Medicago truncatula: one gene and its partner. The protein of the gene in region 2 interacts with the protein of the main gene of each other region in a pairwise test. Links are inferred from orthologs where the notes say so. Each region holds a gene or a part of one and is shown on either strand. Other genes may lie near its edges.

Region 1 (15,941 bases), on a different chromosome or scaffold from region 2:
TACTACCTTCCCCCCTGCTATGCATGATTGTTTAAACGAATATCTTTTGTGCAGACCGCAAAAGAAATCAAAGAAGGCCGCTGCAGTCTGAGATTGCTTGGCAGAATTGTTGGGCTGACATCCTCAGTTGCTGTTCTAAAGTAGTTTTGACGAGTCTTTTTGTTGGTTTAAGACATTGTTTAATTTTTCAGTTATCAGGTGTATGAATTTATAATAGTCCCTGTTCTAAATGGTGTTTTGCTGTTTTTGTTATGATTTTGTTGCGGAAACACTTTGGTTATACTTTGCTAGTTATGTTTTTATACTTTGCTAATGGCTTTATTGATCTCAACTTCCACAGCCCCAACTCAATTTAATTATTTTTACCATTGAAGAATTATGTTTAAAATGATACAAGATTACATGCAATTATTGTAGTTGTCTAACGAAACACTAGTATCAAAGTCGTTTGTAGACTAAGATAAGAAAAATAATCGATGATAGGATAAAGCTTGTGTTAAAATATAACATTGTCTTCGACTCAATATGATGGAATAAAGCTTATTGTCCGTGCTTAATTTACAAATGGAAGAGTTTTGATAGAAAATGGCACTTGTGACATGATGCATATGTTTTTTTCCATACTCTTATTTTACCTTTTTTTTTCTTTTCATGATGTCATCTATTGCTTAGCAGCATCTACCTCTTGATATACCCTCTGCATCTTGATATACCTTGTTGCGGCTTAAAATCCTCTGAATACATATAAACTAAGGTGATGCTATTTGTAGTGAAGGAAAACTTTGCAAACAGATCACATAAGAAGAGGTAGATGCTGAGACTAATTCTCGAGGTGACACGAACAAAACTCTCACGAGATTTAACACCAATGAATTTTTATAGCTGAATTTGAATTCAATACCTCTAATTAATCTGGAAAAAATTTCCTTGCCATTTCATCCAAATGTTCCGATATAACCATGATTGAATTGTGTATGACCTTGTTGATTTGTGTACGGATGAAGTTAAAGAGCTTAGAGTGAAGGTCAAATATGTATATTGAAACCGGAGGTAATCATGAGTACTAGCTTGTCATGTTAAATCTGCAGTGTTGAGTACTAAGCTCGTTATGTTAAATTTCAACCTCTGTTGATTAATTGTATATAACGAGCTTAGTACTCATGATTAATCGGAGGTAATAATGATATTAGTTATATAAGTTGTTTTGTACAAACAATCTTCACATTTTTTTTGAGTTAGATATCATTTATGAGCAACTAACGAGACTAATTCTCGAGGTGACACGAACAAAACTCTCACGAGATTTAACACCAATGAATTTTTATAGCTGAATTTGAATTCAATACCTCTAATTAATCTGGAAAAAATTTCCTTGCCATTTCATCCAAATGTTCCGATATAACCATGATTGAAATTGAAAGACTAATAAAAATTGTAATAAGAAAAATATTAATATCCTTTGGAGATTCCTCTTGGTTATCATTAATTATTCTTTTTCTTCGTAACTTTGTTTTTAAGATTCCTCAAAAAAAAAAAAAAAAAAGAGCCTTAATTTAAGAGATCCGAGTTTAATTCTATATGTTTTTTAAAGTTTAATTCCACTTACAAAATCAATACCCTAGATGTTTATTCCATCAAAGACTCCCCAGTTTGGAGTTAAATTTAAAAAGCAACTCTAGCTCTAAAAGAGGGCTATGTTTAATATAGAGTTGGTGCTAATGATTTACTATTTGGTGCTCTCATGTAATAGTTTTGAAAAACTTTGTAATTTGGTTGATACTAGTGATACCCAGCTTCAACTCAAGGACCGTGACAGGGATGATAAATGGGATTTTGAAGGTTTATTTTCACTTAAACAATACCATCCACTCTGATTGGATCAAAGCTTCAATTCTTCACTAATTTTGGCAGTCTTGTAGTGAAGAAGAGGATCTCTTAAATCAAAGCTTCAATTCTTCACTATTGATTGGATCAAAGCTTCAATTCTTCACTATTTTTTTCAAGTCTTGTAGTGAAGATTAATCTCTGCAGTTGCGTACAATGATATCTACTCTGATTTTTTTTTTTTTTTTTTTTGTGGTGGCCGGGGTCAAACCTCAGACCTTGCATATATTATGCATTGTCCATACCAACTGAGCTAAACTCACGAGGTCGATATCTACTCTGATTGAATACTTTGAATCAATACATGTTTCTAACTTAATATTTGCTAAATTTAAAATCACACACTAACAAGTAAAACATAATTTAAAATGACTATTCAGTCATACCTCGAGGGAAGCTAGCATTGGCAACAAGAAGAGAACTGGACATTTGAGTTGATTTTTTTAAATAAACTAGAATCTCTGTTTCTGTAGCAATGATTCTTGATACTTCCACAATAATCCATCTCTTTTATTCATTTAAGCAATAACTATTATTGAGACACAAAAAATCAACATTGTGTATCAGACACCATATATAGTACATTCTAAGCGTATTGGAGACCATATATATATATATATATAATACATTCTAAGCTAGTGACCTTTTCTGATCTTCATTGTCTGAGGAGAGAGATTTTTTTTGTTTGTTTATACAATGTCAGATGTTAAATTTGTGTCAAAATAATGTAGTTCATAATAATTGGAATTACTATGCATATTAGGAAGTAGTACAACTTCTTTCACCAAAGAGATTAAATGCGAGTGAATGGCAGAAAACCAAAACCAAAACACTGATAGACAAAGGGTAATAGACTCGGGCTGATATGCATCATTTCCTTAAAACCAGCGTTTTAAAAATGGGACTGAAATCAAACCGGCAAGATATTCAGGTCATTTTTCAATTGTTTCAACTATGGTTAAATTGGATGACAAGCAGATATTAAAAAAATAAAAAATAAAACCAGTTGAACCAATTGTGGTTCAACCAGTTTAACTCGGTTCAATAAAACTACAATATAATCAGGGTTAAACCAACTGATGAACTAACCGGTTCCCAAATCAATGGTTGAACTAACGGGTTCAATCCAATTTTAAAAACATTGCCTAAAATACTGCTCCAAGTTATATTAAGCAATGGATTATTTCTGAATTTGTTTCATTGTATAACTAGTTAATACGATAGGGGTTCAGATAAGATCTGTTTGTTAGAAATATGTCTGACACATTAATCCTAATCTATAGCTGCAAACAGCAAATCATACAAGTTTGCATATTGCAAAATGAGAGTTTAGTATAGCCAGTCGACATTGATATAAAGATAAGCAATTTTGGTGTTTTGGATATCAGAAACTTCTTTGATTGCGTCTATTAGAAAAACCTATGTCGTCATCATTGACTAAGTGCTTAAATCTAGCAAGGCCTCCACTTCCACTATATGCTTGGCCTCTGCTTGCAGCTTGATGATCGGATGGATCTGCATTGCCACAAATCCCAAGTTTGACTACAAATGTAGCTGTGCTTCCTTTATCGTGACCCTCGCTCTCCATCCATATGTGCCCACCCATGAGATTTACAAATCTGAATCAATTTTGAGAGTCAGTAATTCAATAAACAAAAACTACTCTATTTAAGCAGCAGGGTTAATATGCATTTCACATAGGGGAAATAATGGTGACATGCTAGGCATCAACATCAAAATTATGTTTTCCCTACCTTTTACAAATGGCTAGTCCAAGACCTGAACCACTGCTAGATCGAACAGGTCCACTCTGAGACTGAGTAAACTTGGTAAAGAGATGTGGAATATCTTGTGGTAGAATGCCACATCCAGAATCCTTAACCTGCACAAAGAAGGATGTTTGGGGTCAGTCATGAGATGGAAATCAATACCTAGATTAATTTCTAACAGTTGCTACAACGATAAGTCGATAACATAATGAAAAGGTAGAGATATCTTTGGGTTCTTTCCTAGAAATGTAGGTATGGATGATCTAGATGACTTAATTATTTAGATAACCCAAGAATTCAATCACATTAACATATGGATAGAAAGTTCAGATATTGAGATGCCAAAGTCATAACCTGGACTCGTATATAGAAATGACCATCACTTGATGCTGGATAAAACTCAGGAGGTCGCCAATCCTGTAAGGATTCTGGTTTTGCAACAGAAGCTCTTATAGAAACATATCCCTCCTTAGTATATTTGACAGCATTGCCCACAACATTCAAAAGTGTTTGCATAAGCCGCTTTTCATCACCGATGGCATGAGTAGGTAGATCAGGGGCAAGAATTAAAGTAATGGGTAGTTTTTTCACAGATGCTATAGGCTTTATCAGTTCAATGACCTGCATTAACAATAGAAAAGCAATACATAAATGCTGTTCATGGTAGATGTTAACGAATAATGTTACAGATATCTCAGCTTTCTTGAAATTACCTCTCCCAAAACTCCATGAAGGTTGATTTTTGCCATTTCTAATTCAAGGCTACCATCTTCCAGTCGGGACAGATCAAGAACATCATTGATAAGTGCTGCCAAAACATTACTACTCTTCAATACAGTCTCTATCATAACCCTCTGCTCTGGAGTCAGTTCAGTCTCCAAAAGAAGTGATGACAATGCTATAATTGCATGCATCGGTGTTCTCATTTCATGATTCATGACTGCAAGGAAATCATTGCGAGCATGAATTGCCATTTCAGCCTCTCGCCGAGCTAAATCTAAGGCAACGTTTTGTTCCATGAGTTGATCCCGGGCTCGCATGGACTCCTCCAAAATAGCAGCATGTGAAAGGGCAACTGCTACCTGTTTGGAAACTAAATGGATTCATCATACGGAGGAATAGAATCTCAAGTAAATTTTTTGAAATGAATAATAACACAATCATGTCCCCACATCTGAGGTGCATGTGAGGAAACAAATGCCATGTCAGCACTAGAAAATGTAGGCGACATTTTGAAACAGCAACTGTGGCGCGATATCTAATGTTACAAAAGCAAATTTCAAACACAGTTAATATGGTAATTTAATCTAGAAAGAAAATGATATTCCTAAAAGCCATACAATTGAATGAAAAGTTTCAGGTATTTAATTTGGTCTTTTCGGATTAGGAGGCATGTGCAGGTAAAGGGAATAAAACACTTAAAAGTCAGGTCCCACACGCATTTGTTGTAGATTTATCCTAGACAGATCTGCATCAGATTATTTCAATATTTGATGTTAAGAGAAGTAAATAGACATTGTCACGTGTTTGTTTACCCCATTTTTCCAATCTCGTTCTTAAATTTAGTACAGTACCCGAGCCTATCTCAATCTTGATATTGAGCCACCATATATCTTCAATGGCCAAAATCAAAATTAGACTGGCTCGGATACAACATTAAGTGAAAAGAAAACGACATAAGATGGAATCCATGTGTAAACTATATCGCAGAGGTTGAATTATGCAGACAAAAAGTATTAAATACAAATATCACAGGTTTCATAATTACATGACCTGCCCTCCCTTTTTTAGCCACTTATTGGGATTCAGCGGCCTCAGCGCATACTCCACATGCATTCCTAATATGGTTCTTTACTTAAGTTACTAGGTGTCATATTCTGTCTTCTACCTTGATGGTTGAGAAATAACTATAAAGCCCAAATGGCCAATGATTGATAGCCATTTCCTAATTTTCAACTATTCTATGCTCCAAACTCCAAAACAAGTTCACAGCGATAGTCAGACTCAGAACAGAACTTACAGGCACAATGACAATGAATATGAGTGTTTAAGCAATCAAAAGAAAAGGAATAGAAAACAACGGAAATACGGAATAGAAAATATTCAGGAAAAAAAAGAACCAATAAAATAAAAGAAATCAAACAAACCTGATCTGCAACAACATCGACAAGCTCCAACTCATGGTCTCGCCACTTTCTAGCACTATCAGTAGGGAGAATAAGAACCATAATTGCATAACTTTTTGCCGAAAGCTCAGGCCAATCATTAATTTGGAAATTTGACAAATGTAGAAGCGGCACCCGAACCGCAACAACTTCAGGTGGCACATATCTTCCGACAAGAGGTCTTATCCTAGCAAGTGGACAAGTGTGTGGTATACGCATAGCTCTCGGGTTACTGAAGACTTCATTGACAATAGGAAGGTTTGTTGGCACAGTAGAACCAACTTGTACATGATAAGTTAAAGTATGAGAAAGTTGTAGATTCAAACCACTTCTTGATGGCATCCATAATGCACATTCCTCCAATCCTAAAGTCCTACCCAGCTCCACAAGAGTAGTCTTTAGAATAGTATGCCTATCAAGCGTGCTCCGTATTTCATGAGTCAACATTCTCACATGTCTTCCAGTTTCTTCCTGGGTAAGAATAAGTCCCATCTCCCTATCAAGCTCTTCTGCCTTGTTCTTAAGGAACAACTCACGGGTTTTAACACTCAACAGATCAGGAATAATATGAACAAGCATAAGTGCAGTGGCGCATGACACAATAGCACACGACACTTTAGCAATCGTCATTACAACAGCAACAGCTTTCGTATGAGCTGAGAATGTCCACAAATTTATAAAATGAGTTGCACCACATAGAACAATAAAAGCCCCAAACTGCATAAGAACCCATCTATATGGAAAGAAAGCAGATTTCTGAACAAAATAAATGAGTTCCACCGGAATCGAGAAATACGCTAGCGCGATAAGAACGTCGGAGATGTATTGATACTTGACAAGAAGTTCATCTGGGGGATAAGGCGTGTCAATACACTCGCAAGACTCCATCATCTAACACCCCCACATGAAAGGATCTGTAAAAGCAACATAGCATAGGTTGTCATCACGGGTTCAAAAACAAAAAGTAAAAGAAAGAAAAGAAAAAAACAAATTGCAATGTATTGAAGATCAAAGTGTATTCCAAGTTTAAAATCAACAAGAACAAGAGAACAACAACATAAAAATCAATAATTTACTTACATAAATAAACCCAATCTGAGTTATTGAGTTTGATGCAATCCAAAAAAGAAAAAACAGTAGGTGAGATTTTTAGAGAGTAAAGTGAATAATAATAGTTTGAAAAATCACAAATCCAACAACACGAATCTAAATATGTTACTTATGAGATCCAACAATTACTGGAATTTTATGATGAAATTATAAAAAAAATAGTATAGGAGAAATGAAATAACAAAGTATATTAAATAATAGTATTGGATAATGGAAGAAGCAAATCTAAAGAAGCAAGTATAATGAATAAAATAATGCTTGGAAATGAAGCTAATTGTATGAGTATCATATTAAAAAAAATAAAAAAAAATAAATAAATAAACTAAATGAGAATTATTAAATGGATCATATAATGATTAAAAAATTATAGATAGAGAGAGTGAATACCGGAAGAAGGGAGGTAGATCAGGCGGCGGAGTGATCGGAGGCGCCAAATAGGTTAGGCGGAAACTTCATTCATATTCATATGAATGAAATGAAGAAGAAGTAAAAGAAAAAGGGAAGAAGAGAGTGTTATGTTTGTGTTGTGAGTGGGAAAAATAGAAGACTTCAAGTATAAAGGTCTCTGTATTTCACGGACAGACAAAGATGGCAACTCTTATTACTCCCCACTCGCGCGCGTCTCTTCACTCTCCTATCCTTTTTACTTTACACACACGTGCGACGACGTCCTATACCTGTATCATTTTCTTATCACCTCTTTATGGGTTTTTTCTAGATTACATTTGAAGAATACATTTGAAGAATGGTGGATAATTTACCCACCAATCAATAAAAATAAGCAATTTATTAGTGGTGTCAAGATAGTTCATAGATACCACTTAAAAATATGCTTATGTGACTAATGTGTATTGGTTGGGGTAAATTATCCACCATTCTCCCTCTTTATCATAAAAGGAAATGTATCTTTTTTTGGTTTTAGTTTTTTTTTTCCAGAGGTTCAAAAAGATTTTTTTTTCTAGCCTTACAAATATTAACCAGGTGATTTGATAGGAGCAATGATATTTGAACAATCATTTGCTAACAACTTTATTGACAACCTCTTTTTCCTCCTTTTTATTGGTTAAAAACAATGAAGAGAGGAAAAAGAAGAGGGAGATTAAGAATATAATGTGAGTATGAAATAAAAAGTTGTCTAAAAATTGTCAAAAATAGTTGTACAAATATCATTTCTTATTTGATAGAAGCCAAGTTGATTCACGTGAGCATAACTTAGTTGACAATAACAATGTATTGTTTTATTATATATTAAAATTGATGTTTGAAACTCGAAAATATAAATTCTATATTAAAATTTTATAGGGACTAAAACGAATTGGTATATTTAAAGACCAAAAATATATTTAACCCTTAATAATTTTACTAGGTGTTTTAATAATAAGTTTTTTGTGAAAATTTGTATTTTAAATGCATGCTAAATTGAAATACTTACATTTTAAAAAAAAAAAATACTCTGTAATTTTTTCATTTGAAATCTTTTAAAAGCATCCTCAAGACACTTGCCGGTAATAAGACTAATTGAAAAAATGGTCATGCTAATTTATATACTAAGGATTTTATAAATGGTAAATATTTATTACAAAACATTAATTTTCAATTTTCAAATTAATAAATTGGGACAATTTTTTAGACAATTTTTTTATTGGTTTAATAGTATTTTTGACCCCCTAAGTATTATGAAGTTGCAATTTTGGCCTCCTAACAAAATAAAAAATAATTCAGCCCCCTGAATATTATCCCTTTTGCAGTTCTGGCCTCCAGATCAATTTTGACCAACTCAACGTTGGCGTGTGTAATTTTTTTACTTTTTATTTAATTTTTAATATTATTTTTAATTAAAAAATAAATAAAAAATTATTTTTTCATAATTAAAAAATAAAATAATTACACACGTGCCCCACATCAGCATTGACTTGGTCAAAATTGGCCTGGACCAAAACTGCAAAAAAGGTCCCACCATCATTAATTATTTTTTGCTTTTTTTAAAATTTTGTATATCTATATCTCTGCAAATAGTAAAAATGAAGAATGGCATAAATGAAGATGACCGTAAGTTCAAACCTTAATCACAATATTCAATGTAGCAATCTAATCTAGATACTTTTGTTAATCAGTCTCCCGTTGCTAAATTAAAATTTACGTAATCTTAGGGTGTGTTTGTTTCAAGTTTATCAAATTTATTCCTAGGAATAACATTCCTTGGAATATAAAGATGGAAATTTTATTCCAAGGAATTTAGGAAAAATATGTTTGGTTAGCTTTATAATATTCCTAGGAACCATAAAAATATGGATTATAATAGGTAAACTATTTATGAATTTATTCTCATCTCCATGGGAACTTTATTCCCACCCTTTTCCTTGGGAAATTTTTTCTATTCCCAGAAACATTTTATACCCGGGAATAAAATTTAATAAACTTGTAACAAACATAGACATATACATTCCTATCATTTTATTTCCGGAAATCAACAATTATAACTTGAAACAAACACACCCATATAATTATTCAATTACGATACCCACTTTATTAGTTAATTATTAATTTGAATATATGGTAGTCAAATGAAAGCAAAAGTATGTGTAAAAAAAGAAAGAAGATTCATTGGACTATGTACAATGCATTTCGGTGACTGTCACCCTCTCCCGATGCGCTTTCAAATTGCATGCATCATTGCCTCCAAGACCACAACAATCAGTAGTAAATTTCTCCCTTTGTTTTAAAATAAGTGTCGTTTTAGATATTTACACACAGAGACGGATACAGAAATTTCAAGAAATTGGGTCAAATATCCGAAACTTAAAGACATCTTAATATCTAAGGATTGTAATTGTTCTCTACATGTTTTTATATGTTGAAAGTGTTTTTTTATTTTATTTTTCATTTTCAAACCTATCAAACATATTACTCTCTATGAGTGTGACCAAGCAATCATTCAAAATTCATCCCTTTTACAATTGCACATTTGATTCTTCATAAAATTCATAGTTGAGAAAAAGTCCAATCAACTAATGCAAGGCAAAAAAAATAATGCTAAATTTTAGAAGTAAATACATCATTGCATAAGCAATGTTTTTTAATTTCAACTATCATTCTAGAAATATCGCTAATTTCATGCAAATTCTATTGTTCACTGAGTTGTTTTCATATACTCCAAAAAAAAAGTAAGGATAAAATTGAGCCAAATTAAACGGAGTTTTTTATATAATGCGAGGACATTAATAAACTTAATGGGGGGTCATTAATAAACTTGATGTGGGGTCAATGTATAAAAAATCCTCATTATTGTTGATAAAAAGAGAAAAATTGCCCATTATTGATTTAAAAAAATGAAGTAAGTGGGTCAAGTGCCCCCATTTCTTACTACTTGGATTCGTGCATGTACATACATATTAAGAAATGCAATAATTAAAAAAAAAGAATGATTATTTTATCAAATTATCCTTATTAACTATTGGTTAGTTTTAAAAGTAATACTTTGGAAGTAGTGTGCAAAGTATTAATTGGATGATACAATTGAAAAGAAAAATTTATTATTGCATTGAAAATTGAAAGTGACATTCATTTTAAAACAAATTTTTTTGACTAAAGCGACACCCATTTTAAAACGGAGGGAGTATTATGGATCATGCTGCCAATTGTTTAAAGTTATTTTATTGCTAAAAAAAAAATATATTTAATAAAATTTTGTCTTAAAAATACATAGTTTTCCCTTTTATCTCTATTTCATATTCCAATGTTAGCCTTTATTTATATTTCAAGAGAAATAATATTTTAACAATTATTTTCTAACAACTCAATTGAAAACCCTTCATGCGAGGTTGTTTTAGTTTTTTTTTTATAAATATTTTGTTTGTCTAAATTTCGTGTCAATGTACCCATTGCCTTGTACATCTTTGATTGTCCATAAGTTGATTAAAAATACTCCTAATATGAAGTACGCAATATCAAATTTGGTGATTGGATAAGCATTTTTTAAAATTAGAATAATTTGCTAAATAGATTCAGATAAAGTTTGATTATGTTTTGAGCACAAACAAGAAAAAGAAACTATACTAGTTGGTTTGAGTTGTGTGCCCCTGATATTCTCCCTCTCAAAAAAAGAAAAAAATTAGACCGTGGAAGGAGAGAGACGGTAAAATTTGATAAAAAGATTAAGAGAAAAACAAATTTTAACTAGAGAACTCTATTATTTGATATTTAAGTGAGACAAATCTTGTATCATAAGTTAATTTCTATTATTGGATAAAAAAATAGATTATGTTAACTAGTGCCATCATAAAAAAGTAAAAAATTGAAACTTTTTATTGAAAGCGATAATTTTCTGACTTTTAAAATGATTTCTCACCACTTCCTTATACGATATTTTTATATATGTTTCTTTAATAAATGTACTACGAACATTTTTATCATTAAATCAAATGAAATATAATACCACTTATCGATTCAATGGTTAAACCATAAAAACACACTAATACATGGTAAAAATCATTTACATTGGACAAAATTCAGAGAGACAAGAGACATATAAATTGGTGGAAAGGGATGAAGACAAATTTTGGTGTGAGCGGATCCAAATTTCAAATTCTAAAAAACAACATGATGTTTAGGTTGAACATGAAAATCTCTAAAATTTGTCACATGCAGCTATATGTTACCTAAAAATCTCTAAGAAAAATGTTATCTAAATTTTTATATTTAAATAAGGCTAAAATATGGTTTTGGTCCCTGCAAATATAACTCGTTTTGGTTTTAGTCCCTGCAAAAAAAATTTGTTGTTTTTGGTCCCTGCAAATATGTCTCATTTTGGTTTTGGTCCCTGGCTCCACTTTTGTGATAATTTGCACACGTGTCACATGATGACTTAACCATTTATTAGATAAATAGTCCCTGCAAAATCTTTTGATTTTGAAAAAGGTCCCTGCAAAATATTTTGTTTTTGGAAATAGTCCCTGCAGGGACTATTTCCAAAAACAAAATATTTTGCAGGGACCAAAAACAACAAAAAAAATTTGCAGGGACTAAAACCAAAACGAGACATATTTGCAGGGATCAAAACCATATTTTAGCCTTTAAATAATGCAATACATTGTAGTTCTCATTCCTTAAATTACAGTGGACGTGGTAACATGTCCTAAATTAAAGTGAACAATTTCAGCTCTTACCCTTTCTTGAATTAAAGTGAACAATTTCAGCTCTTACCCTTTCTTGAATGAAATATAAATTTAAGGTTAATAGATCTTTACCCCCTGTAATATAGGTCATTTTCGGTTTTCTCCCTTATAAAATATTTTTTTTGATTTACCCTCCTGTAATTTTATTTTTTTTGATTTACCCCCTAATAGGCCAAACAAAAATGAATTTATTTTATTTTTCCAGAATTTTTCGTTTTTGTTTGGTCTATTAGGGGGTAAATCAAAACAAAAAAAAATACAGGGGGTAAATCAAAAAAATTATTTTACAGGGGAGAAAATCGAAAATGACCTGTATTACAGGGGATAAAGACCTATTAACCCTAAATTTAAATATCACTTTACTTATATTTTATGCCGGAGTCATATGTCCTAAAATGATTTTTTTTAATCGGGGTGTTAGTTTTTATGTTTAGGATGATGTTGTTTGAACAATTGTATTTTCTTATATATCTTCTAAAATGATTTATAACTTTCTTCACTGTACAATGCAACCACTTACAAATTCAAGTGTTTGAATGAAATTGTTCGAATATTTAGACATTGTTTGTGGAGTGATGATAGGTATACATACATAGGTGGCATATTACCTTATACACACTTCAAAAATAATATTAAATACTCATACAAAGTGTCTGCTAAAAAGTTTCAATCTCAGTTCTCTCTCATCCTCCCTTTCTCTCTTCCACGTCTATTCCCTCTCTAGCTGCCATCTCTACACATCTCTTTCCGGTTACCGTCCACCGGACGGCGGCGACAACCCCATTGACCGTCAATCATTCTCCTCCCTTCATCACCGACCACCACCGTCCTCTTCCTCCATCACCGATTGTTTGAAGATTTAGGCAACCACAAAGTGACAAAACTTGCAAACTTATGAGTTTGCCAATTGACTGGGGAGGTATTTTGATTTTGCGGTTATATGAGAGGTTGGCAACACGAAGGTGTTCTAATTTAGCAATTGAATTAGGCAGAGTCATTAATGGCAACACACAATTGTAAGTATTTATTTTTTGATCCAGTTCTCCAACAAAATTTCACTGTCAATACCCAATCCTTCAATGAAAAATAATATAGTTCTTACACTTCTGGACTTGGAGAACAATGCTCCGCCAAGTGAACCATTTTCTACAATTGAGAATTGAAACGTTGAAACATTGTAAGGAATGGAGAGAGAGTTAAGAGGAAAAGATAGAAAAAAAAAACGTGAACAAAGACAAGGTTTGTGAGTGTGAGAACAAAAGGGCTTGTGAAATCCCAATTTTATCCCTTGTTTTTTGACAAATTTTCAAAGCTGCCATCCACGTGGGAGTGTGTACAAAAGTGGTATGGCTAAAGGGTGTTTATGAATCATTTTCCTTGTTTGTGAGTTAGAGAGGAAGGGAAGGAGAGGTTTGGAAAAAAAATATCAAGTGGAAGAAATAGATGACATTAAGAGGGGGAGATTTTAGGTTGTTTATTTTTATTCATAATACAAAATCTTCTTATATTGGGGAACTAAAAAAATTGTTTGGAGGAGGGTTTTGGGGAATTTGAGAGGGTTTACATGTAGTTATAAAATTCTTAAAGTTAAAAATATATTAATATTTTTTTTAACAAACAAAAAGAATATTAATCAAAAATATTAATTTATCATTCTCTAATAAATTACTCTTTATAAAAATGTAAAACATTTTATCATTTTTCTTCATATTTTCAACCCTCCAAAGTTTTCCCTTCTCATCCGCTCCAAAATCCCAAACAAAGCTCTAGTGAATCAAGTTCGATAAATATAGCAGCCATAAAGTCTTGAGAGAGTTTTGTTGTCAATCATATTATTTTCTAGTTTGAGGAACTAATCTAAGTATATTTTTAGTTATGTGGTGATAAAAATTGATTCAACTTAAAATTGAGTTGAATGTAAAGTGATTTATGTTTGATTATATTCATATAAAAGTGAGTTGATAAATAAATTTGAATGTAAAAATTAATCATAGAATAAAAAGTTTCAAGTAGGAAGATATATTTTATTTGAATAACTATTTTTACAATAACTTATGAAAAAACTAATGATATAAAAAAAAATGTAAATGTTGATAGAAAAAAAATATAAAAAGAGAAACTTGGACATAAAATAAGGCTGTGTTTGGTAACACAAAAAAGTTAGCTTATAGCTTATTGGACTAGCTTATAAGCTAGTTTTTGTAGAATGAAACGTGTTTGGTAAAAAACTTTTCTTATTAGCTTATAGCGTTTTTTGAGAAGTTAATTCAAGTAGCTTTTGAGCTTATAACTTTTTATATTTTCTTCCAATTTTAAATTTTTATTAATTTAGTTTAATTTAACTTGAATTAGAAAAACAATCCATAACTGCCCACGTTTAGCATCATGATATGGCTTTTCAATTTTTTTTGTTCACGTTCCTTTTTATAGATAATTTTATATAAAATTTACGATAAATAGTGATGCAAGTTTAGTTGAGTAAAATTCATGAAAAGGAAATTTTGTTAAATAAAAATTATCAATTGAATTAATAAATACATTTATCATTTAGGAGATGAAAATATTTTGAAATAAATTTAAACATTTAAAAAGAAATACATTAAGTAATAAAAATTGTATATGATTTATAAAAAAAAACACAAACATGCCCTTTTTACGTCATTTTATATTTATCAGCTACTTCAACAGCTAATTTTACCAAACACTTTTTATTTTAATAAGTTAATTTTTTAGCTATAAGCTATCAGCTATCAACCATCAGCTATAAGTTAGCTTTTCAGCTATCAGCTACCAGCTAACTTATTGGTACTTTTTACCAAACACACAACATAACTACAATTGAGATGTGTCACAAAATGGTCTAAAAAGTTAAAAATATCATTTATCGATTAGGAATTGAAACAAATAAGACTAACCAAACTTGTCTCCCTACGTGACAGACACACATACACTCACTTTTAAGCAAACAAAACTCACTCTCCTCACACATAGCAGCAAAGAAAAAAAAGTGGAAAAGTTGATAGAAAGAGAGCGAGGAGGAAAAGAAGAAGAGAGAATTGCTTTGGCTTAGGCATTCCATACTTCCCTCTCTTCTACATATTTTGTTTAGAGCTGATTTTGGAAGAGTTTTATGAATATTCAGTAGTTATTTTTACCATGATCATGTGAATAGCTCATGGATCATGCATGCAAATGGGTAAAGTGGGAATAGATTGTAAGAATTAGAGATTTCAATGTGAATGTGTATTCTGGTTGTGTTCAATTTCCTTTATTGTTCTTGAACAGAAACTTACATGTTTATTTTCTAATTTTACTTGATTATGAATTTATGTGTAATTTGCATGTAATGTTGTGCTTCTAAAAACCTTTGAAAGTTGGTTTTGAAAAATTTGTAGGTGAAATGGAATGCATGCGTTTGTAGTATGTATGTGAAAGTTTTTGAGTAATGCATTTTTGAGTTGGGTGGTCCTGAACTGAAAGGAACTATGAAGCACGGACACCTCTACGACTAGGCGTGTCGCGGTGTCCGACACTCCTATGACACTCGTACGACACGTGTCGAACCGGTGTCCTAAATACTTATTTTTTTCTTTACTTCGACACTCCTACGATCGGTGTTCGACACCTATAGCCATGTCGGACAACTCAGACAAATATCTAAAACAATTTTTTCTCTCTTGCTTCCACACACCATATATACATTACAATTGATTATATCATTTTTAGCTTTTTTGATAGTAGATGAATAAATAAAGGTCAAATACTATATGTTTATATATGTATTTTGATTTTCATTTTAGACCAACTTTAAATAAATTAACATATATGTAGCGGTGTCG
Region 2 (16,831 bases):
TCATAAAATTCTTAAAAGTTAAGAGTACTAGATATAGTACAGAATCTTCACTGTTACCTTCACTGTGTATTTCTTGTCAACAAGAAGGTTTGGAGATTTCAGGTCTCTATGAACAATGGGGGGATTACGCTTGTGAAGATAATTCATCCCTTTTGCCTGTAAATGAAAAAAAAAAAAAAAAAAGACAAATAGTTCAGAATGAATACAACCATTATATCATATAACAAATTCCAAAATTAATAAAAACAAGAAACAAAACATTTGTTTAAATGCATACCACATCGTAAGCCATACTAAGCCTGCGCCTCTCATCCAACACTTCCTTGGCACCAGGTCTATGCAACAGCCGGTATAAGCTACCCCTGCACTTAGTTCAAAAACTGTTAGAATTTCAAGCTACCCTTTGGAATATTCCATCTTTTGGAGAAAAATAATTAGGGACAGCTAGAGACATAGAGCAAACCTTGATAAATATTCGGTGACAATTGATAAGTTAGGAGGTTGAGTGACTGCCCCCATTAATAAAACAATGTTTGGATGCCGCAAATGTTTCATTATTGCAACCTGGCAAAAGAAGTTAGAATACAATTCAAAGACGAGCTCTCAATTTCTCTTTTGGGGGATTTTCACTTGGTTAGAACTTTCAAGCATACCTCCCTCATGAATTCCTTGAAGCGTTCTGCATGAAAATCTTGCTCCATCAAAATTTTAACAGCAACATCCTGCAAATTAATAATGCGTTAAAGAATGAAAAAATATAAAACAAGCAAAAAGAGAGAATAAGCAAGCAATCATGAAATAATTAAAATAGAAGACTATGTCTGCTTTGGACTTTAATGAAGAAATCCCAAAAAAAGAGTGTCACAAAATATGTCTGCTTTGGACTTTAATGAAGAAATCCTCAACATATATGCATTCTAAATCATGACATGGGCTTAAATAATTTGCGAACTCAGAATCAGAGAAGAAAAAGGCAATAAGTATTAAAAATATGCGACTGTAAGCTTCATTTGTTCACACGAAATAAAATGTTAGATATAATTTGTTCGATGAGAAGATTAAGGCTTGGTTGTTGTTTTTGTATAATTTGTTCGATGAGAAAAACATCTATTGGAAGATTTCTTTTTCTCTTTCAAATAAACTTCTGCTCTTTTGACGTGTAACTAAGTGAGAAAAGATATGGCAATAAAGGTCAAATTGTACTATAGTCACAAAGCTAAGGAGAGAATAGGATATATGATGTCAATAGGTTGCCAATAACCAACATGCTACATACTAGTCTCTCTGCTTGCATCAGACAACAAGCCAAAACAGTAAGGTATTAGGTTGATGGCAGTTGGGCAGAAGTCATAGTTTGAAATTACACAGGTAGGTTGTTATGAAATCAATCTTTTGTTGAAGAATATTTCATATACTCAAACAATTGTTGTCCATCAAATAATTGTTTTCAATTGACTAGACACGAGTACAAAAAAATTTAAAATAATATTGGAAGCTACCATTTCAGGAACCAATGGAAGATGAACAAGAATTTTGATAACATGCTTTATCTACATCAACATATATAACATTCCATATATACATACATTTACAGGCAAAGTGTTTCTTCACAATAATTATAATATTTGGTCCAGCTAGAAAGCACACCGCGTACTTTGGAGACAATTGTTTAGTCCCTTGATAAAATTGTGATCAATAAAAAAATACATAATTTGGCATTTGATCGTTAGTTTGTTTTAGTCCTTATAATATTTTGTTCAGATTAATCCAAATATTATAGAGAATAAAACAAAACAACAAGAACCAAAAGCATTTTTTTATAGGAGACTCAAATGGGAAAACATTAGAAGATCAAAACCAGAAAGAGACATATTTGCAAGGACTAATGACATACTTTAGCCTACTTTCAAATACTCAAATACCAGTTGAGTCTTGACTAATTCATAAGCTGTAATGTTTTATGAAACAAGCTCCCAAAACATAGAAACCACTGAACCTTTGTTAGCGACTACTACTGTTCATACACAATGATAGTATTCTTGTACTGATGTATTAAGCACAAATATAAGTAGCATTACTTGCGAATGCAAAAACACAGTCTGCAAAAATCAACGAAAAGAATGTAATAAGGGCTGGACTTATCATCGTGTTGTTGGACGGGGACTTGTCACCTGTCCATTTGCTTTTGTACTATACTTGTACTTGATATCAATTATTTGCATTTAGTATAATTAATGTTTCATATAACGATATATAAATTATTCAGCATCTCGTTAAATATAAAATATCTTCTCTTTTTCATTCCTTCCTTATAGTTTCAACAAAACAAGTCAAATAACAATAATTAGATTTATTTATAAAGCATCAATGTTTAAAATAAAAAGAGTGGCTTACCGAACCATTCCACTCGGCACGATGTACAGTTCCAAAAGAACCTGAAATACAATATGTCATTTTCAAGTAAATGACTACTGATATTAATTGCACAAATCATGCCACTACAATTTATAAACAAAATGTACCTGATCCTATTTTTTCTTTTAAAACAAGATCACTCCATGGTATGGCCAAATCCTCCATGTCAAAGGCAACCTCTCGAGTAGGCTTGCTAGGAATTAGTTGACTTCCTTCAATAAACCTCCTACCCTCGATGACATCATCATTGGCAATAGCAACAGGACGCTTATGCTTTAAAGGCGGCGGATACTTGCCCACAGTTGTTGATTCTATAATGTTCTGAGGAGGGTTACATAACATATATGTTTCAGAAGCTTGATCAAGTGTACTCGGAAGAGGAGCTTGCGGATACAAAGCAAGGTGAGAATTTATGTTGATGTCACTTGATATTGGCCTAAGGTTATTACTTTCATTGCATTTCCCATCCAACTGTTCTGAAATGGAGAATCCAAACTCTGATTAGAAAAAGTTTCTGTGATATCAAATTCAGGGTATCCTATACTAGCACCCAATTCAAACATTTAATTATAACTTTACAATCATATACACATAATTGCATATCATATTACATGATCAAGTGCAAAATTACAATTACTTGACTTGCAAAACGAACATTTATAAGAAGGGCCTGATTTTATGAACTCGCAAATTTATCAAACATTAGATCAACAGCTCAAAAGCGCATACTCAACAACCAAGCATTATCCCACTAAGTAACAATGCAATAAGATTCTATTATAAATCATATTCTAGCCAAACAATTGACCTGTAAGTTTTTCTTAATAGCTCCAATATATATATATATATATATATATATATAGACACACACACATAAACTCAAATTTAAATATGCAAAGAGACTAAGAGCTGATTTGTATAAATTTCTCCGTAAGAACTTATGGAAAATGGAATTAGCTTCTGCTTTAAATATTTTTCAGAAATTGTCTCATTTAACTTCTTCGTAAACACTTATAAACTTATAGGGATTTTTCTATAAGTGAAGCCACAATCTTATTTGAAAGTAACTTGCTTATGGAAGAAGTTTTTATCACTCGTTAAAAAGTTGGGGGAGAAAAAAAGGAACTGGGAGGCCTGGATCTCAAATTCTTGATAAATGCAACAATATGCTCCAAGTAGATCCTTCTAGAGACCAGAAGCCAAGATTTAGAATAGCACAAATTTAACCAAAATATCTGAATATTACCTGCTGAACTGTTGTCGAAGAAAAGCTCAAGAGACAGACAGTCTGAGAAATACTGTTTGGCTAGTGACCTGAAATCAATTGTAGTTTCAGCTGGCTTAAGTCTTGGAAAGCGCAAGGGTGAACAAAATGAGATGGAAGATGGACCATTGAGCAAGGAATCAGGCTCGGATAAGTGTCCTGGCTTCCCAATTAAATCAACAAGATATTCCCTGACATTAGATTATGTAAGAGGTGAGGTGACAGGAATATTACTCTAATGAAAATCTATTTAAAATGTCAATGTCGATATACATTATGTTAACCATTGATCTCCAGTCCTTTTAAAATTTTCCATTCCATGATCGTTATATATAGCTAATGAAATTGCAGATAAACTTATAAACAGAAAGGTATGTATGCTTGGAAAATAAAGCGTATACCTGTCAAGCCCAAATCGAACAAGACAAGAAGAAGCGTCATCTCTTTTACAATATTTACAGCCCTTTGCAATTCGACATGGTAAATCAATAGCATCAGCTAGCACCTAAAATAATAAATATATAACAAGTTATTCAGAATTGCTTAAATACAATCCACCTCCGGTGAACAAAAACTCGTCAACATAGTCAGCATGTGTAATCACAACCTTAAACCCCGACAGAGAAGTGGAGCCTTACTTTGAATAATATGGCGCGATGCCTGCAGAGACCAACAGATAGACTACCTATGGGAAAAACAACAGATCCTAAGCAATCTTTCAGATTATTGCTGCAATCCCTCCAAAAAGATAGAAACTCATCCTCCCCAGCAGAAGCTGAACCCCTTGTTATAGCAATAAAACACAGTTAGACTGACATGACCGGATAAAAAGCTAAATAGGTCGGGCCATGAATGCCAAGAAGGCTCACCCCATACAGTTGCAAACCAGCTTGGAAAGCTGATCCACAACCTCTGTTGTTGTTATGCTGCTACAAGAGATGTTATGAACCATGTTTTGCAGTTCTCTCAAGCTGGCATCACTGCGCCGATCCACCAAAACTACATCAAGGGAAGAATCAATGCGGGGATGTACAGACTTTAGAGTATCAACTGATGGGATTCGGCTGTTTTCCTGCAGATCAGTGCACACAGTCCATACATAGGAATCCATCCCATGAATCAGATAAAAGCCATCAGGAATTTTGTCGGAGTATGATAGGCAGCCATTCACCTGGTGTACATTATAAATAAGATACAAAATCAACTTTCACATATCTAACAATAAGAGCATCAAGTCTATCAAGATGAAACAAGTTACAGTTTCCACCCTCAAATTTCAGTGGTCGGGTAAAACAAAGAGAGGAGGTCTAGTTTTTCACTCAATAAATGATGATTATACGCAACGCACGTTCTACTCAAAGCAACATTGTTAAAATATTAATTAGCATTTTCAAGATGTGTCGGTTTGACTCCACAAACATCATATTTTCCAATGTTGATTTTTTATGCAGTGTAAAAATAAGATACACATTTATTTAGAGATAAAAAAAAAAAAAAAAAGTCAATTCAAGAATGAGAAATATGATCATAGCATTTAAGTCAGACAGTAATAGAATACTGAAAACCATTCTTTCCAGAACTCCCAGCAAAGTGCCAATCAAATGTGAAAACTGAGACTGCATGAGATAGTTTCCTCAATCAATGTGATAGCTAGTGACAAATGGTTTTCCCAATGAACTAGCACCAAAAAAATATTGAAAAATAGAACCCTAATATCCAGAAAACTCCTATTAGACTTCAACACTGTAATTCAAAATTCAACTCTATACCATATAACAAACAAAACACAACTTCTTAAGAAGATTTTATACTAAACCAAATCCCATCCATTCAAGTCAACTGCATCCTAAATGAACTACAGAAACTTTGTCCTCCAAATTTGTCGCCGTCAACCGAAAATTCGGTCATCCCGTTGACACATAACAGAGAAGCCGACAAACCTATATAAATTCAGCCCTATATAAATTCAGCATATACGACGCTACACAGCATTGCCTTAATTTGGCTTATATACACAAGTAACCACAGTACACCCATAGTCAAAATATATCCATAGTCATTCACACACCTTGTCCTTATTTTCATTAGTTATCACAATTCACAATCCTCTATAGCACTGACAACTCTGATGAAAGGCATGTCCGGTGTCCGACACCACCATGACACTGATGCGTGTAATTACATTCAATTAATTCATTTTCTCAGATTATTACCGTGTCTGTGTGTGTCAATGCTTCGTAGTCACATTCACAGTCAAAGCCATTACCAGAATCAAAAATCACAATTCAAAGCAACACAATCAAGGTACAACAAACAACATACCCAAAATCGATGCGAAACAGCCTCAGCCGATGCCGAAAGCCTCGAAGCCGCGTCATCTGGCACCGGATCCAGAAAATTCGGATCATCAGCACAAGTAGCATCCGACGATAACCTCAAAGCCAGCGCAAGCTGCAACTGATAACTCTCCTCCGTCTGCTGCGCCCAGCTCTTACCAGACGATCCCCCGTTCCACGCCGCACTTTCCGCCAACTTCCCCCTCACCTCACCAACCTCATGCAAATAACCAAACGCATCAACCTCACTAGCCGCCACCGCCGACAGATTCTGCGCATAATAATCACCGCCGCTGGCTAACGAACTTTCGCCGTAACTACTTCCACTCGACTGCCGCTGTAATCCGATCGATGAATACAAATTCAAATTCCCGATCCGATTGTTCCCTTGCCGATGATCGCCGACTAACTCCCAACCGCCTCTACTAGCTTTTCCGTCGCTCGACGACGACGGTGCCGGAGCACTAGCGCTGGCGGCGTAGGAGAATTGATCGTCGGGAACTTGACTTAGAATCGAGTAATTAGATCTTCTAGCAGGCATTTCCATTGAAATCAATCACCGTTTTGGTTTAGTTATAAAACCCTAAAAATCTTCATTGTTGTTCTTCGTTGAAGTTTCTGTTACGTTATTCTTCGTTTTCCTTTTTCTCTTTCTAGAATCTGGTAACTGTTAAGTGTGAATGGTGGAATGAATGAAATTTCTCTCTCTGAGTTCCGGGGAGAGAGAAATCAAAGTGACGAAGTTTTTTCTTTGTTTAATTCGGTGGCGCTATCGTAAATTAAATTATTTTCAAAAGTTTTGGTATTTCTTTTCCAAAAATGTTTCATACATATCACTCAATTTTGTCTACAATTTCGAGTTTTTTTTATTGTGTATTTTTCTCAACAATTTTGAGTTTTTTTAATTGTGGAACTTCGAGTTCATATTAATCATAAGGCTAAAGTATGGATTTTCCTGCAAATATGTTTCGTTTTGGTTTTAATCTCTATAAATTTTTTTTGTTGTTTTTGGTCCTGCAAATATGTCTCGTTTTGGTTTTGATCTCTGACTCCACTTTTGTGATGATTTACGCACGTGACACATGATGATTGAACCCATATTTAGAAAAATAGTCCCCGCAAAATATTTTGATTTTTAAAAAGGTCCTTGCAAAATATTTTGTTTTTGAAAATAGTCACAACAAAAAAAATTTACAGAGACTAAAACAAAAACGAAGCATATTTGCAGGACCAAAACCATATTTTAGCCTAATCATAATCGAAGTTGTGATTTGGTTAAATATATATCTTTTTTAAGTAGTTTGTTTGTTAAGAATTAATCTCTTGAGATAAATAAGTGGAATATATGAAATTTGAACCTCCCCTTTGCATATATTATGAAAAATCAAAGTCACTTAGATAAACTCACGAGAATGGTATATGTTTAATTTCGATCATGATAGAATTCGTAAAATTTTAGTTAATTATGTAATTGAACTAACCACAATTCTAATTATAAATTAATTTACTTAACAAAGTTAATCATATTTTTCAACATGATTAATCGGTATCTTTTTTTTATCAAGTAGTCAAAATGGTTGAAATTTCACTCTCGAGAATGAAGAATTCAAAGTGTGAATATTGATCGTGTGTATTGTGATTTCCTTGTCAATTGATTTACAATAACATAAATAAATTGATCTTTACATCTTTCGGTCACTATTATAAAACCATTTTTTAAATTCATTAAATAAATAATATATTTGATCTAAATATTTACTAAAATGTGTTTCAAAAAAGTAGGAGAAGATTTTTATTTATAGTAATAATCGGAATATATGTCTGTGTAAAAAAATGATGTTCGATTGTAATTTATTATTGGGTCTTGTTAATGAGTGTCTCTGAAATACTCTTTAAACATACTAAATAAAGTAATTATTCTTTTAAAATTAAAAAGTTTTTAATTTCCAATACACTCATTACACAAACTTTTATAAAAGTTACTATCTAAAGTTCAAGGGCATTGGTTAGTTAACATTTCCCTTTATTATTTTCGGTGGGCAAAGCGGTATTTGGTTCACACGTTGGCCGGTTCAATTCACCTGGTGGTATTTTTTTAATAATATAAAAATATGACTTTTTGTTTTTGGATGATAATAGTAGAAAAAAATAATTACAAATTTTTTAATATGCAAGTTGGATTGAATTGATTAAGAATAGAAATGAATGATTTAAAAATAAGAATCTAATTACAAGTTGGATTTTTCTAATTTGTACTTGACCAGCCTTACTTTAATGTATGTTGTCATAACAACTTTGCAGTGAGTTCAGATTACACACGCCTTTAAACAGATATGGATATAGTTGTGGGCGAAGTTGAATTTAGCATATTTTTATTTCAGCTTTCGCATGTGACCCTTCTTGTACGGGTAAAAATAGAACATGAACTTTAGTTTGGTTTGGTGGCTGCTAGTGATGGTGATATACGGCCAGGTTCATAGCGGTTTGGATTTCGTGATGAAATTCCTTCGATGAAGAAAAAAAAAATGTTAATTTATGTTGTTATGACATATGTTAAAAATTATATTGATAAAAATTATGTATTGAAAATTGTGTTAATTTATTGTTCGAAAGGTTTAATATTAATTTTTCCAAGAAATTCTTACCATTATTGGAGTGTTTAACATGTGTCTTAAGGACACAAGTTAACATAACCTAAACAATATAGATGTTTTGGTTATTGTGTGTGGATAATTTGGAATGAACGAAATAATAGAATATTTAAGAATATCCAAACTAATATTATAGGTCTTCTGGAAAAGGTTAAGCAGGATTTCTTTTTGTGGCTTAAAGCTAACAATGTCACGTTTGTTTATGGCACGATTAGATGGTGGTCAGACCCGTTACTTTGTTTGGGTATCGACTAACCTGTTTATTGTAATTATACTGTGATTGTTTGCCCTTTGGGGTTGCTTCTTTAGTACACCTTGTGCTAAATAAGAATCATCGCCGTTGTTAATATATTCCATTTTTTATTCTTAAGAAAAAGAAGAAAAAAAAACAGAACCCAAAAAAGCATCCATAAAGAAGACACTCATTTTTTGGTACTTAAATGGATCTCATGTGTAGATATCACTCATTTATAAAAAAAAAAATTAAGGGTCTTGCTAACCATTGTCCTAAGGGCAATGGTTAAAAATCTCATTAATAGAAACTTTCTCTTGAAAATACAAATCTTTACTTTTTTCTTATCAATCATTACATCACTTTTCGATGCAAACTTACTTATTTAAGTACTTTAACCAATGTCACAATGACAATGGTTAACATTCTCCTTTTTTTAATAGTAATGCCTAATAAGTAGTCAATCTTTTCAACCCATATCTTGTTGGAACAAAATGTGTTTAACATTACCCTTTGAGAGTTTTGATGATAACAAGGTATTAAAAATTGTCAATTGGATATGCTAATATTTGTTCAAGTGTGCAGGACCATATGCAAGGTTAAATATTTTTGTAGGTTCTGGAAGAACAAATTAAGAGCTATGGAATCAACATAAGGGAAGCTTGAAGCGTATGAAGAAAAGTGCTCCTGAAGTCAAGTGCTCATGAAGTGATGACATCATCAGAAGCAAGTTCATCAGAAACTGAAGATCACCAGAAGCTAAAGTTCATCAGAAGATGGGAGACTTAAAGCTTCAAAGGCTGTTATATGGATTCAATCTCGTTTGAGCATTGCAGAAGACCAGGAGAGTGAAGCAACAATTAATTCAAATGAAGTTGAAGGCATTGGATTCTTGCTTTTTGAAGAGTGATGACAAAGTACAATTGTACGAAGTGTACAACCACTACCTCCACTACTTAGTATGTGTCTCTGCTACAAGACAAGAATAACAGCTATGCCTGCAACAATGTTCCTTCATACTTGGAATGGATTTGAAATTGATCATTCATAGGACAATAACCATATCCGGCAAAAGATCATTGGTGATTGATCAAAGCTTCAAACGACTATATTTTGATGTGCTGGAAATTCACAACGTCTTTTTCACACCTCTATATAAAGGAGTGAAGACTTAGAGAATGGCAAGGACTAAACAACAATTTACAAGTGCCAAAACTCTGCTGAAATTGTTCTCCATCAAAAGTTCACTCAGAATTTCTTATCAAAGTTCATATCTTAGAAATTATAGAGTCTTAAGAGTCTGTATCTGATTTGTACTGTGAACACCATTGATTGTATATCAAGTGTTCAACCTCAAACAATTTTCTTTGTAATTCTGTTTGAATAGAAGTCTCTTGCAGTTGTGCTTGAGCATAAGAAGTCTCTTGATTGTGCTAAGGAGCATAGAAAATCTCTTGTAAGTTGTGCTTAAGTAGTTTGAAGTCTCTTGCTAGTTTTAGCAGTGAGCAGTTGTGATCAGATATTACATTTTAGTGAACTCTCCTTGGAAGTGCAAGGGGGACAGGACTGACTTCCGGTTTGTGGAAGGAACCTGTATAATTGCTTTGTATCTTTCTTCTCTTTCTCTCTGTTTTATCCGCTGCAATCTAGTTCTGAACATCACTTCAGAAGTAGAACATTGTTCAGAGTCTAATGCAGCGAATAATGTATAGATAGAGAGAAATAAGATAAAGACACAAGCAATTATACAAGTTCCTTCCACAATCTGGAAGTAGTTCTGTCCCTCTTGCACTTCCAAAGAGAGTTCACGAAAATCAATATTTGATTACAAATGCTCAAACACACAAGCAAGAGACTTCAAATACTCAAGCGCACATGCAAGAGATTTTCTATGCTCAAGCACAAAAGCAAGAGACTTATAAACAAACAAAATTACATATAAAGATGTTTGGTTTGAACACTTGATATACAATCAGTGGTGTTCACAATACAAATCAGATAAGACTCTTATTAAGACTCTAGAATTTATAAGATATAAAAGTTTATAGAAATTCTAAGTTTTGATGCACAAAAATTTCAGCAGAGTTTTGATACTATCAAAACATTGTAGAGTCTTCACTTCTTTATATATAGAGGTGTGAAAGAGACGTTGAGAGGATGTTAGCACATAAAAGAGTCGTTACCGAAGCTTGATCAAATCACCAATGATTTGTTGCTTGATTTGGTTAATGTCATAGGAAGGAATAATTTGAAATTCATTCCTTGTTTGGAGAATTAACCAGTGTAGGCACAACTGTAGCAATACTATGTGCAGACATGATAGTGGAATAGTGGAGTAATGGTTGTACAAATGTAGTATTATCCTTTTTCTGCGCTCTTCAGTGGATAAGCATACAATGTCTTCTAATTTCTCTGAAATAGCCATCGTTCCAGGCTTCTGTTCCTTCTGCAAACTTGTGTCTTCCAATAACCAACTTTAACTAACTCCAGCTTCTTGACTTCAAACTCTGATGAACTTCAGACTCTGATGACGTCAGACTCTGGCAATTAACTTCTGATGAATCTTCAGACTCAGACTTGCAACATAAGCTTAATATATATACTTAGTTTTGTGATGCATACTCATCTTTCTATGGAGGATGAATATGCATGAAACATGAGTGACATTTATGGTGGGACTGATGAAAACATTAAATCTTCCCCATCTCTAAGACAATTTACATAACCAGTACGCATATGCTCTATATTATTTCTCGAGCCATTTAAGTCTGTCACAAAATATAAAATTAAGGAAATCTAAGACAAAGTAATAGAAGAAATAAGAACAAAAATTTGCATTTTAGAGGGGAAAGTTTTTTTATGTGGGACCCACCCAAAGAACACTTTCTTTCCTCTCTGACGGTGCAACCAAACAACGGAAACACGAATTTTGATGAACTTTCTTTCCTTCCTGCTTTCTTTCCATTCACCTTCCCTAGAACCAAACAATGCCTAAGTCTTGCTTAATAACGGGTGAAGTGTAATTTTGTCCAAAAAAATGGGTGAAGTGTAACATAATCAGAGAATCTATACAATTAGCTCTCAACGTTGTTGTGTAGAGAAGCATTCTATTTATGAAAAATGTGATGGTGTGTAACATTCAAACATTTCTTAAGACAATCTCTTATGAACTCCAGTGGTGGTGTGTAACATTCAAACATCTCTTTAAGATAGTCTCTTATAAACTCCAGTGGTGGTGTAGAGGGATAATTATGAATTTTATATGGTCACAACAATCATTATTAAGATAACCCAATTGAATTGGTTTGGTAGTGTTGGTTTGTGATTTTGGTGTGCTTCAGCTCCTCTCAAGATCTTAAGTTCGATTATCTCCCGTGTCAATTTTGATGGACAAATTTTCCTTTTTCAAAAAAGTTTACATGTTCTAAAACGAGCCATTGTCAAGTAGAAGAAGGAAAACAAATTGCACAACAAACAAAATCTAGTAATTTTACTAAAATGGTTTGTATTCCAAAACGTATGAAAAAAAATTCAAATAAATAATTAGTATTTTTTTTATTAAAATTCTATAATGAACTTTAAAAAGGCTCGATTAAAATTTGTCTTAGGCTTCCATATGTAATAGCCCGACCCTGGGAATTTGTACAAGAATGATTAACAATAATTTTTTTTAAGGAACAGTAAACTTTTTATTGGTTTTCTCCACTTTGCTCACTTGAAGAAAGGGAAGCTCGTGACTGGTCCTGACCTTCACACAGAACTCGTTGATTTTGAGACGGACTAAAAAAATGTGGTTGCTAAATTTCAATGTCAAGAGAAGAATTTTTCTGAGCTAGGTGTTGTTTTACGAGATGGTAGAGCATTTTGTTATGTCCATGGTCAACACTATTATGTCGAGTTTATTATAAGACAAGTCAATAAAGAAGTCCATGCTTTTACCAAAGCACCCACATTTTTACTTCGTATACACATTTTCAATTATATCTCCACATGTATCCATGATATCGTGAAATGTTTTTTTTTTTTTTTTTAAAATTATTAATAAAATGTTATAAGCATCATTTTGTAATAAAAAAAAATACTACTTGGCATAAAACTAAAAAAGAAGCGAAAAAATTGTAAAAATGATGATAGGAAATAATTAAAAGTGAAAACAAGAATGTGCGAGTCATTAAATTTGTAAAAAATATTTCATATTTCTTTTTTTAAATACATTTTTATTTTAACTTGTTAATAACAAGACATGTGACTCTTCCTTAAAAAAAAAAATGCGTGACTCTTGAAGTGAATCAACTCCCACAAAAAAAATCACAAAACCGAATGTTAGTATATGCTTTTAGATTTCATTTTGTGGTCCTCGTGAACTTAGCTTAGTTGGTAAGAACAATACATAATATATGCAAGGTCTGACTGAGGTTTGTTCCCCAAATAACAAAAAAAAAAAAAAAAAAATCGTTTTGTGAAAATTGCAAGACTGAATCAAACGGCATAACTAAATGTATCACTTTTTTTCTTAGGTAAACTAATTGATTACTTATTTATTTATTTTACTTGTATATTGTATTATTATATTGCTTGTTAATTTTCAATTTTTTAAAATAACACCTACTAGTTTAATTTAATCTATATTTTTCCTATTTCATATGTTTCTCGCATAATTAAAAGCATTTTTATTTGATAATGTTATTTATATTTTTTCTTTTTAAGTTTGGTATCCGACTCAAGGACCGGCTAATTAGGAAAATCAATTTCAATGTCTGCTAACGAGGGACTCAATTAAAGTCAGACCAAAGCTTTTTAGGAAATGATCAATTGAAGCCGAAATAGATGATCAAACATAAGAATTGTTAACACCGGATGAGTCAAACTCGAGACCTAGATTTTTTTTAATAAGTTTTATGTTATATTATAGGCTAAATTACGCCGAAGGTCCTTTAAGTTATTTAATTACAATAAGTCAGTCTTTTAAGTAGTTTTCGTAACACTTAGGTTCTTTAAGTTATTTAATTGTAACTTTTAGGCCTCGAATAACTTATATTTGTAAGACATGAAATCTCCAAATTGTTACGGGGAAATAACTTAAAGAACCTCATTGGTATAGGAAAAAAAATCTTAAAGGACAAACTTGTAATAATTAATTAACTTAAAAGGACTTAAATGATACGAAAAAACTTAAAGAATCAATTTATTACTAGTGTAATTTAGCCTATATTATATATCAAAACCATTAATTTACTACGTATGTGTAATATTAATATTAATAGAATTTTTTATTAAGCTGAATCAAAACATAGATATTCAAAGAAAACCAATACAGATTAAATTGTTTTTAATTTGATATCAATATTAATAGAATTTTTTATTAAGCTGAATCTCCTACATGGTTCGTTTCTCTCTTGATAAAGGTATCCGTCGTGATCAGTGATCACAACCTCTACTCAATATAGTGATTATTTCAAGTTTTTAATTTATATAACTTGTGTTCTTGCAACCCTGTGAGATACAACTTGTCAGTTGTGTGTTGTGTATAGCTAATAATTTTGTTTAAGAGAAATGTTAGAACACTCACTTTTAAATACTCTCTAATATTTATTATTTTATTGGATGAAATCATCGTCATCTTGTTTTGAGTTCTATTTTAAAAATGTAATCTCATAATGTTTATGTGTTTTTTATTGTATTTTCTTATAACTTATTTATGTCAAGTAGTACGTTATTTAATATATTTTCATTTGATTTTACTTATATTTTGGATATTTTAATTCATTTTGAGTATATTGTGAGATACATTTTATATATTTTGATTATACATTTTATATATTAATGCAAAATATAATTTGTAATATATTGTAAAATTAGTGGGACTCATTGTAAGTTTTGTAAGAGTGGTATGAATATTTAGAAAATGTAGTTGAATGGTTTAAATAATTGAAAAGTGTGAACTAATATAAAGTAGGCTTAAATACCTTTTTGGTCCTCTAACTATTTAATTGGTATCAGATCGGTCCTCTAACTAAAAATTGATTTATTTCGGTCCTCTAAGTTTCTCCCCGTTACTACATTTAGTCTTTTCTGTTAGTTTTATTCAAATAAACGTTGGAGTTTGTGTTATGTGGGTATCTGACCTCCTATTTCACACATACATATGAACCATAACAGTTACCAATAATATCAGTCACTATTTAATCATAATACCTTAACAAGGCATATGACCAAAATGATACTAATAAATAAAGTTAGAGGACCCACATTATTCATGACATAATTTACCAATATTTTATAAGTTTCGGGTACCTGATTAGTTCTTCTGGAACTGAAAAATCAATTATGTCAGAAAACTCTTTTAGAGTTTCTATATCCTCGTTTTGGGTTATCTTTCCTTTAAGCTCCTTTTCTTATTCAAAGCTTTTTATATTTGGAACCGATTGATCTATCATGCTTCAGGCACGATGAAGACTCATTTGCAATATTAGATTATCCGATATGGACATCTATTTCGTTTGGAGCATTAGCAGCTAATATTTGATTTGTTTACCTTTGCAAATGAGTTATATCTTGAGGATCAATAAGAGACAATAATATTTCCTATCAAATAATTTATTTAAACTTCAGGTTCACAATTTTTAGCTGCTTACTATCTCCCCCTAATATTGTGAAAATCAAACCATCAATTGATAATCAACCTACTAGGCTATAAACAAGTTGGCTCAATACAATTAATGATAGATGAAGATTTATATCAAATATATTTTTCCAATATTCTTTCAAGATTTATCAAAATGCATTATATTGAAGCAATTGTGACATACACAACACATCCAAAAATTCACTTGGATGAAAAATATCAGGTTGTTAACCTTAAATCAATGATAAATTAAGGGGAGAACTTACATATAGTAATGTGTTGGCTTGATGCATATCAATATCTCAATATACAAAATTATTGATTCCAAAAATCGAGTCTATAAGGCATTATCTCATAACCAAAATAGAGTTTATAAGGTATGGTCTCATAAGTATCAATCATACAATTAACTTTAGACCTCTAAAGAATGGATCTCCAAATCCATTTTTATGATCATATGCTACCAGCTGTTCAATATCAATTTGAATTGGTGAATGATACTTATAAAATGCTTTTTGAAAAGTTTAGAAAATAAACTCTTAGTCAAATTTGTTGACATAATAATCTCACAAACTTCTGGTTGTGAATATACATGTGATCATTTAGTTGATGCATCGATTCAAATCATATAATATTCAAGTACTTCACATGATCAGTGTATTAATTTAAATAGCACCTTATATAAGTGAGAGACTCATTCTTTTAAATTGTCAACTCTATCTGGGAAGTAGTAACACACAATAGTTACTAGATTGAAGAATCTTCTGGCTCTTCAATATATGTCCATTTTTTTTCCAAATAGTTTATGCATCATAATAGATCCGGGATAACCCAACCAGTCTTGCCAACAATATAATTTGTAAAATTCTGGTTTACAATATTATGTGCTTACATTGCACAAATAATATAATATGTAAACTTCAGGTTTACTATAATATGTGCTTCCATTGCACTAATATAAGTTTATTATAAATAAGAGACAGAATAAAATTTCCACTACACTTATTTTCTCCAGAGTATATCTCGTAATATAGAGATTTTTAACATTAAAATTTTATGAGAATGCAATCTCAATGTTTAAATTTGTTCATCCATGTAACAATAAATTAGTTATTCAGGAGCCTTCGATAATTTATTTATTTTGAAGTGCAATGCTAACATTGATTCCTTGCATCATAATTTATGAAAAATATTCCTGGTTCTTCCAAAATGCATGATTGAAATCATATTATTGTAAAAAAAATTAATAACAATAAATTTCAAATATCATAATCATGCTATAACCCAAATATTCAATTTCAAATGAAA

The links.
Region 1: the proteins of serine/threonine-protein kinase CTR1 (region 2) and ethylene response sensor 1 interact in a two-hybrid assay, tested with the Arabidopsis thaliana proteins (2 studies listed by BioGRID). The link is inferred for Medicago truncatula from reciprocal best matches to the Arabidopsis thaliana genes CTR1 and ERS1.

The regions. Positions count from the first base shown.
Region 1 is NC_053048.1:51,565,364-51,581,304, forward strand, and holds ethylene response sensor 1, read right to left. Parts: upstream 7,474-15,941; 5' UTR 7,316-7,473; intron 6,914-7,315; exon of another isoform or gene 6,899-6,913; intron 6,733-6,898; 5' UTR 6,710-6,732; coding exon 5,801-6,709; intron 4,736-5,800; coding exon 4,367-4,735; intron 4,275-4,366; coding exon 4,008-4,274; intron 3,767-4,007; coding exon 3,639-3,766; intron 3,504-3,638; coding exon 3,269-3,503; 3' UTR 3,051-3,268; downstream 1-3,050. Other genes in the region: 60S ribosomal protein L19-3, read left to right, coding at 55-91; transcription factor-like protein DPB, read left to right, coding at 15,289-15,298. UniProt on the Arabidopsis thaliana protein: Ethylene receptor related to bacterial two-component regulators. Acts as a redundant negative regulator of ethylene signaling.
Region 2 is NC_053042.1:30,648,498-30,665,328, forward strand, and holds the start of serine/threonine-protein kinase CTR1, read right to left. Parts: upstream 6,783-16,831; 5' UTR 6,563-6,782; coding exon 6,002-6,562; intron 4,851-6,001; coding exon 4,549-4,850; intron 4,463-4,548; coding exon 4,318-4,462; intron 4,185-4,317; coding exon 4,081-4,184; intron 3,871-4,080; coding exon 3,662-3,870; intron 2,892-3,661; coding exon 2,523-2,891; intron 2,436-2,522; coding exon 2,395-2,435; intron 723-2,394; coding exon 654-722; intron 565-653; coding exon 464-564; intron 363-463; coding exon 278-362; intron 157-277; coding exon 58-156; intron 1-57. UniProt on the Arabidopsis thaliana protein: Acts as a negative regulator in the ethylene response pathway. Phosphorylates the cytosolic C-terminal domain of EIN2, preventing the signaling in the absence of ethylene.